2 linked regions of the Kluyveromyces lactis genome follow. The protein of the gene in region 2 interacts with the protein of the main gene of each other region in a biochemical or structural test. Links are inferred from orthologs where the notes say so. Each region holds a gene or a part of one and is shown on either strand. Other genes may lie near its edges.

Evidence for each region. The genes of interacting proteins can lie anywhere in the genome.
Region 1: the proteins of RRP6 (region 2) and NOP53 form a complex in vitro, tested with the Saccharomyces cerevisiae proteins (2 studies listed by BioGRID). The link is inferred for Kluyveromyces lactis from reciprocal best matches to the Saccharomyces cerevisiae genes RRP6 and NOP53.

What each region holds. Positions count from the first base shown.
Region 1 is NC_006042.1:1,055,269-1,060,037, reverse strand, and holds NOP53 (Nop53p), read left to right. Parts: upstream 1-2,934; coding exon 2,935-4,269; downstream 4,270-4,769. Other genes in the region: HPR1 (Hpr1p), read left to right, coding at 250-2,511; ATP-binding cassette long-chain fatty acid transporter PXA1, read right to left, coding at 4,510-4,769. UniProt on the Saccharomyces cerevisiae protein: Late-acting factor in the nuclear maturation of 60S ribosomal subunits, which is required for normal acquisition of export competence. Required for the export of the large subunit.
Region 2 is NC_006040.1:113,339-117,463, forward strand, and holds RRP6 (exosome nuclease subunit RRP6), read left to right. Parts: upstream 1-1,374; coding exon 1,375-3,609; downstream 3,610-4,125. Other genes in the region: PHO80 (Pho80p), read left to right, coding at 1-565. UniProt on the Saccharomyces cerevisiae protein: Nuclear-specific catalytic component of the RNA exosome complex which has 3'->5' exoribonuclease activity and participates in a multitude of cellular RNA processing and degradation events.

The sequences.
Region 1 (4,769 bases), on a different chromosome or scaffold from region 2:
TAAAGGTCTAACATTTCACGTTCAAAAACTTGGTCACGTGATATACAAATTTCAGCAACTGTTATGAAATTTTGACATTGGTAAAGCCTACTGAATAGCTATAGCTACAATGTGGTCTTCCAACTATTTTGGGAGGAAAACCTTATAGTTCGTGGAGTCAATCGAGCTAGCGTTATTATCTTGTTTTTCCTCTAGAGAACAGCTATTATTCAAGAATTGGTTGAAGCAGATTGATAACCTAAAAGTAAGATGGAAGATCTCGAGAGCTCACTTGCCGAAATTGTGGATCAATTGCAGATTAAGTTGTATGAAGACCCAGAAAGACCAATCCCTGAAAATGTGCTGTCTGAACCTTTGAAACGTGAGAACATTTCTGAAGGTGTGCTATCCAGCTCTTTTTCTTTAGATACGGAACTATCATTAGGTAAAAGAGAGTTACTATTGAAAGGGCTGTTAAACGAATTGGTGACAAATGCTGGAGACACAGACATGCGCAAACTAAGCGTCTTACTGGACTTTTGTTATCATTTAAAGTACGTTGGGGAGGAGGATGAATCTAAGGTATGGGCCGCATTATTCTTTGACCTAACTGCAACTTGTATCCTGACATTAACCTTCCCGCATGAACTGGGGCAATTCTATACGTACCTAAGATCAAGATTGTCATGGTACTTAGAAGGCCTATCGAAGGAACCTGTATCTAATGGAGGAACAAACTTGAAAATGGGAATAAGGCCTCCAGCTGCAAAACTTTTCTTCAGCATTGATACTTTTTTCAAGAACATCGATTCTCATTCTCTCTTCATCACACCTAATCATTTCGAGCTTGTGCATAAATTATTATGGTGGATATCGCAGCTAATACCTATTAATGACCATTGCAATATTAATCGAAGGGCAAAAATTACGGATGAATATCCTGAAACGTTTTGGGCTCCACACTTACCGGCTTTGCCTTCATCTCCTACTATTCTCTCTGATTGGACGAAAATTTGTGATGATTTCTTCCTTCATCCATTGCATTGGCTATTCTCTCATCCAAGGGACAAACTCACACTCGAACCTGTCGTTCATCGATTTGTTGATGAGATCTTTGTCTATGAAACCGAACTATACAATTTGATAAAAGGAAAAAATGAAAAGCATGCTAAACAAGAAGCTGCGGTTAATGGTAAAGATTTCTACCCTTTAAACTTTATCGATAACGTTTACGATGAACCAGATGACTCAAGAAATTCAATTTTCCCATCCAAAGTTGAGTTCTGGAAGGAATTCAATTTAGAATCTACGAAGTCAGAAAATATCATCCAATTGCTACCGTTAGAATTAGACTTATTTGATCTTAGATCTTTTCAGGATCGGATTGAAGCATATGAATATGACTATTTCAGGAAATTGGTCATATCGCAAGTTTATTTGACTTTTTACTTATTGAAGGAAATTATTTCCAATGATACATTGGTTCACTACTATGGCAAAATCTTTAATCAGAGTTCATTGTCCCATTCATCGAAATGGCGTGTTGAATATGGAGACAACGTGCTAAATAAAAACGATTCTGCTATCAATTTCTTAACGAAGAAGTTAAACAGAATTTCTTCATTTTATGAAATTAGGGATCGTCAATTTTATGAATTGTTGAATCATCTAGCTCAGAATGAATTGGATGCACTCAATCAAAAAGTCGGTGATTTCTCAAATTTGAAAGACATTCATTGGTCCTCTGATTTGATTACCGTACCAACAGCTAATAATGCATTCAAGAAATTCGGATGGATTAAACTCGGCAATAAGAAATTAGACGGTCTATGGAAAGTGCAATCAGGCTTAGATTTAGCGAGAAAGTATTCAGAAAACAATAGACAAGATCCCTCAGAACTATATGACACTATAATATCCGAATACAAGGATAAAACTGAAAAAACTGATGGTGATGAAACCACTACTGATAATGTCATAGTAAAACAATGGCAGAATCTAAGATCTTTGAGGCCGAAATACTTGTTTGAGTTTAATAAGGTCAGCGAAAAAACTACTCTGGCGGGGTTCGCCAATGAAGAACTCATTAGGAATGATATCGAATCTAAGAAAAGACGGCTAGCCGAAAGAATAGAGTCAAAAAAGAAGAAACATTCCGAACAAGTCGCCGAGGCTGAACAGTTTTTCAAAGACAAGGAACAAGAAAGGAAAGATCTACTTCAAGCGAAGATAAAAAGTCAAAGAGAAACTCTGGAAAATGGAAAAAATGATAAAACAACTTCGCCTGATGATCAAGATAATGATTCACTAAAGAGAAGACACGATAGTCCAGAGGCTGACGGGAATGAAGAAGAACAAGCTGTTTCGAAGAAACAAAAACTTGAGGAAGAAGTTGAAGAACCAGATGCTGACGCTGAGGCTCAAAAGGAAAAAGCGCTTGAATCTGAACCAACAGAGCTTAAAACAATAGAAAGTACAGAAACAGAAGTAGAGGTGCCGAAAGAACATGAAGGAAGCTCCCACACGGAGTAGGCTAACAATACAGTAATATTTTTTCAGACATCCGTTCAAATATATAGCATATAATTCGATTGAAGAATCATTTATTTTATCAATTACAGATGTTACTTATCAATATCACACGATTCTAGACTATTCCTCTCCTAATTGACATTCGACAGCTATCTCCTTGTCTATTATGAATCGATATCCTTTACTTTGCTTCGAAAGTGAATGTTACCCGGAGAATAATCATATTTCTTTTTTTTTATGTCAATTTTTCATTTAGACAATCCGATGCCAATAAGATGAAAAAAAAAAAAAGAGATGAGATGCGATGCGATGAGATGAATTCAAGTACACAATTAATACTCGGGGACTGGCGTATCGTTTTACTAATCCTTACCATACTATTCAGGACAATCCACCTCAAACAAACAGACAAAATAGTTAGTTATGGCGGGATCTAAGGACAGACCAGCTCAGTACAAACAATCTTCTCGTAAAGGTAAGAAGGCATGGAGAAAGAATATTGATATAAGCGATGTGGAACGCAAGCTCGAAGAGAAGCAGATCCTTGAGACTACTCATGGTAAGCAGAATTTGACAGAACTTAGCGATGATGCGCTTTTTGCGGTTGATACTGAGGGTGACCAAGTTTTAAAGCAGAAATTAGTGAAGAGGAAAGCAATCAAGAAAACTCTGAAGTCAACCGAGATTTTGGAGTCTATCAAGTCTAAATCCAAAGTGCCTGCTCTAACCAACCCAAAGACTGCTAACAAGAAACATGATAAGATCCAAGGGGTATCAAAGAAAGAACTGGACAGATTACTTGCTTTAGCTGGTAAAAAAATTGGTGAAAGTAAGTTGAAAGCAAGAGTTGCAAAAGAAGGTCTTGTGAAGTCAGGATCCCTTGATTTATGGGGCGAAGATGCTGGTAAGGAGGTTAAAGTACCATCTGGACTGAAGCTTAAGATAGCACCAGAAGAAGTAGAGAAACTTCCAAATGGATTCTTAAAACAGTCTACAACTAGTTGGTCCGTCGCAACTGTTAAGCCGGATTCCATTGCTCGCGTGCCAGAAATTGTCAAAGAAAGAGATGTCATTCCACATGCAGGAAAGTCATATAATCCAAGCAAAGAAGAATGGGAGGCTCTTATAAGTACTGAATATGAGGGTGAGCTGATAAATGAACAGCGCAGGATAGCTTTAGAACAATATAAACAACGAATTCAACACTTGATGGATACTATTGAAGATAAGGAGGAAGAGGACTCCGATTCAGAAGAAGAAAATGAATCAGAACTTGATGATAAAGACCTTTCAGAAGAGGGAGAAGAGACTAAGTTGTCTCTGAATCCAGCAACTAAGAATAAAAAGAAAACGAAATATCAGAGAAATAAACAAAGAAGACACGAAGAAAAAGTCAAACTTCAGCAAGAATTAAAGAAATTGAAGGAAAAGGTTCTCAAACTTGAAAAATTAGAGGAAATTCAGCAGGAAGTGGAATCCACCGTCCCAAATCCGGTCTCTACAGCCGGAAAAGTTAAAAAGAACAAGAAGCATAAGCTTGGTACTAAACATTCCGTCATGGAAGACAATTTAGAGGTGAAATTCTCAGATGAACTATCAGATTCATTAAGAAAATTAAGACCAGAAGGTAATCTGCTATATGACACTGTGAGAGCATTACAAAGTTCTGGTAGGGTAGAATCTCGTATCCCTATTAGAAAAGGTAGAAGATATAAACCAAGAGTCACTGAGAAATGGACTTACAAGGACTTCAAATAGATTAATTTGCTCTTTTCTTTCTATACATCATTCCGTACCATTTGTACAATAAAATACACAGACGTACCTGTGCTTTTCTTGCATAATTTATATAGAGCAAAATATTAATAGATTCATTAACTCTGTGATTATATTATATAATAGTAATGAATACAATATCCGACACTTTTACTACTGATTGAACTACACACCAAGAATAGTTCATTTGACTTGGCAGATTTAAATTTTCAAACCAATTTTTCACACCAATGTCAACTTTGCCTGTAGTTCATCTCTCTGCCTTTCCCATTCTTTTACCTTTGTTAGCTTTTGGTTTAGGGTTTCAATCTCATTTTCGATTGATAAAATAGCTTCGTCTGACCCTAATGCCTGTAGGCTCCAATCAGTTCCGTTAGTCAATTCCAATAGGTAGTCATGGTATTTTATCAAAGACGGGCGTTGAGAGATGGATATGAAGTTGAATCTGTATCTCTTCAACATGGTAAAAAGATGATCTTCCA
Region 2 (4,125 bases):
TTTGGAACGAGTCAGATACAGAATTATCCCAAGAGATGATAATATCGAAAATTGTAAGATTGAACAAAAATTGGGCTCCAATATGCTGATACCCATGAAAAACGCTTCACAGAGAGGTCCCGACAATGGTTTCAATGTTTTACAGAATTATTACAGGAAGATTGTTCAACTCGTTGGAAATCCATTGAACTCACCGGATAAAACTTCCACATACTTCTTCAAAATGGTCGATCCAATGAATCCTGGCATTGGTGGCACCTTGGTACCGCCTAGTACAACAATCAAGAACAATCTTAAAGATAAAGGAAATGGTAGATTAAACACAAACATTATATCCACTACGGGCAGGATCGTTTCACCATCTATAACCGAGGGCGATAGCTTTAATCTGAGTGAACACCGGAAAACTCGTTCCCGAGAAACTTCTGTTAATGAGAATAGTGATTCTCCTCCGATCACCATTCCACAAAAGAGAAATATGAAGGAGGATGATCCGACCAATATGGATAGAAAGAGCACTTTGCTACGCAACGGCAAAAAGCTTTCAAGTCATTTCAATAGTTGACCTTCCTTTAATTTATTTCATTGCCAGGATGGAATCAACTTCGGATTCAATTTATCTTTCGCTGAATTTGTGAAGATGGTTGGCAAAATGTGTTATGAGTCTTTTACGATACTGAAATGGTTTCCCATTTTTGTTGATGTTCTTTTCATCGCAGCAATACTCATCAATATTCACTTCATAATGTCTAGACGGAAATTAGACATTAATTGACCCACTTTTAAGTTATTGAATCACTACCCAAGATTACAATGAAAAAGCATGTAGTATTAAAGTATAGTTTCACTACTTAAATGTTTCAGGATTTTGCATTACTTTCCTTCAATTGTGCCATCTTTACTCTTACAGGTTAGCCGCCCTATATAGCTATACTTAATTGGTTGCCATAAAATGGAGCAGCTGATGCTGTCTGCTTCTAGCGTCATTTTATAATATTGAGATGAGAGATGCTGCAACATTAGTTGAAAAAAAATCCGTACATCGTAGAGGAAGCAGAAGTTATGCAAGATTATATAGTTAGTTCTCTAGTAGCCAATTAACTTATAACGTAGCCGTTGAAAGGCAATGGCGGCGGTGGTGATACGTGGTCTGACTCTCTCTGTAATACTACCGACTCTTTGAATGAATCATTTTCATCAGTAGCAGAGAACATCTAAATTTTACCCGGATTTGAATTCTTCTGATTTCTTTTGATTAGTGAATATTTCTTCATCTCATCTCATCTGGTAGTCAAAGACAGTAATATATTGGAGGGCAGTACGATTCGCCCCGTTTTGAATCCCCCGTAGACTACCAGCTGACTCTAATCCACCATGTCTTCAGAGGATAAGGATACGTTACTTTCCAGTTTGGTTCAAACTGTGAGATCATCGAGTGCATTGGCTGCACAGGATATCGATTTCTACAAAAGTTTAGATTCCAACATTAATGCATCATTAGAAGACACTTCTACGAACATTTTATCGTTAATCAACGACTTGCTTTTGTCTATTGATCCCAATAATGATGTAATTCAGCAAGGGAAAGACAGTTTTGTGGATTCTTGGAAATCCATAAGTAATATTATGGATAATTTATTTGAAAAGTCTGATCATGCACTTGACAACATTAGAGCCGGAAATGGTGGAAACGCTGGAGGTCCATCACTTAAGTATCTAAATGATGATGATCGTTCGAACAATAAACCATCCAAGAGGATTGAAAAACCTCAACTAAGTTTTAAAACTCCTGTAGATAACACAGAACTTCATCCTTTCAAGCCATTATTGGAATACAAACCCCATAGTTTACAACCGTTCGAAATTTCATTGAAGATGGTCCCAGAAGAGGAATCCATCCCGTCCCATTACCCACATCCATACGAATATGAGATCGACCACCAAAAATACAATGACTCCATTCTTGTTGCAACAGAACCGATCCCATCAAAGGACTGGGATGAAACTGAAGCAATTTGGGTTGACACCGTTGAAGGCCTTAACAAAATGAAAGATGAATTAAGTAAAGCCACAGAATTAGCAATCGATTTAGAACATCATGATTATAGGTCTTACTATGGTATAGTTTGTTTGATGCAAATTAGTGACCGGGAGCATGATTGGATTGTAGATACTATTGCATTGAGAGAGGAACTTTACATATTGAATGATATCTTTACCGACCCTAATGTTACTAAAGTTCTGCACGGTGCATTCATGGATATCATATGGCTTCAACGTGATTTAGGCTTATATATTGTTGGCCTTTTTGATACTTATCATGCCTCCAGGATGTTAGGTTTTCCAAAACACAGTCTGGCCTATCTTCTCGAAAGATTTGCTAATTTCAAGACTTCAAAAAAATATCAACTGGCAGACTGGAGAATCAGACCGTTGACCAAGCCTATGCTTGCATATGCAAGAGCTGATACGCATTTTCTCCTAAATATTTTCGATAAATTAAGGAACTCTCTACTGGAACAGAATAAGATGTCCGATGTTTTGCATGAATCGAGAAAAGTGGCTAAAAGAAGATTTGAATATAGTAGTTTCAGACCAAAGGTTCCGTCTTCAGCAGTGTTTTCACCTATTGAAAAGGATGAACCTTGGAAGAATATTATGTTTCAGTACAATATTCCGGCTTCAAAGGAATTACTTCTCCGTAGACTTTATGAATGGAGAGATACAATCGCCAGGAGGGATGATGAATCTCCTCGTTACGTGATGCCAAACCAACTACTTGTATCGTTGGTGGCTGGTGCACCAACCGAACCCATTAACGTATTGTCTGTCAGCTCATACGTTTCAGAGCATTTAAGAACAAATTCGAAGGTCATTGCAAACTTGATCAAAAGAACTTTAGAGGATCTCAAAGGAAATTCCAACTCTTCTGCGATCCCACTTTTGGAATCGGCCGAAAGTAACGGCACCGATCTGGCCAATATAATAACAACGTCCCAAATTAAATCCATTCAGAATATATTTCATTCACTTGCTTCGGAAATAAACTCTCAAAAGCTGAATAACGAACAAAATTCAGAGAAATCTGTCCTATTCAATGGTATTTCAAACTTGGATGTGAATACTGCCGTCAGATATACACCAAAGACGAGAACGCTCATTCCACAACATGAATTATTAAAGCGTCAGCATGAAATAACAAGGACGTTAGAACAAGAATACACTGACCGACAAGCTCAGAGTATTGTGCTACCGTCAAATGAGGATGAAGCTCCTACGCAAGTATCTAACGATGAAAACAGAAATGAAGTCATCACGTCTGATCCTTCTCAGGAAGAGATTGAAGAGAACAAGGATGAAGTAATTACGTTGCGCAAAAGACAATCTCAATCTAACAACAAACGAAAGACTATCAGTCCACCTGCAAGTCATGAGATTATGGATTATGCTGCTGGCTCCGACCTATTGAACTCAACAAAGAATAATACAAACTCACAGAAGCATAAAAAAAGAAGATTCGATCCTTACTCTGTTGAACATGTCGGTCCACAGCCTATCAAGAAAAAATCAAAACCTGCCAAGGGTAAGAACGTCTCATTCAAAAGATAGAGCATCTTGAGCAGCTCTAATGGTATAAATATCGAACTAGTCATATTTACAGGTTAATTTCGCTCACTAATTCGTTTGCGTAATAGTTTTTTTCCTTAGAAATAGCTACTTCTGCCTAGGCATTGAGACACAGATTGGATAACTTGAGCTTTTCTGAGACTGCCCATAAGATCCTCCAGTTGCAAGGAGTCTTTTCACAGTAGTCAGTCTATCCTAATTTCTTCATCTATAGTCATGTGCAGTGCATCAGATTAGCCAACAGTTCTCGAAAATGTTGGAACTGACAAAAAGGAATGTTGATATTCAAATTTTGTTTACTACGCGGAATTATAAGAGTGTATAAATAAGGGTATCTCATGGCATTTAAAAGAGATTTAGCCCTAAGTAGTATATATAATGAGATTGAATTTTTAATGCATACTGCAATGAACTGCTTTGATCAAACATAAAGAGCAGAAAAATTAAACGGGTACGACTCCAAGAGCTTATCTATCCTATTATCTGAAATCCTAGTTT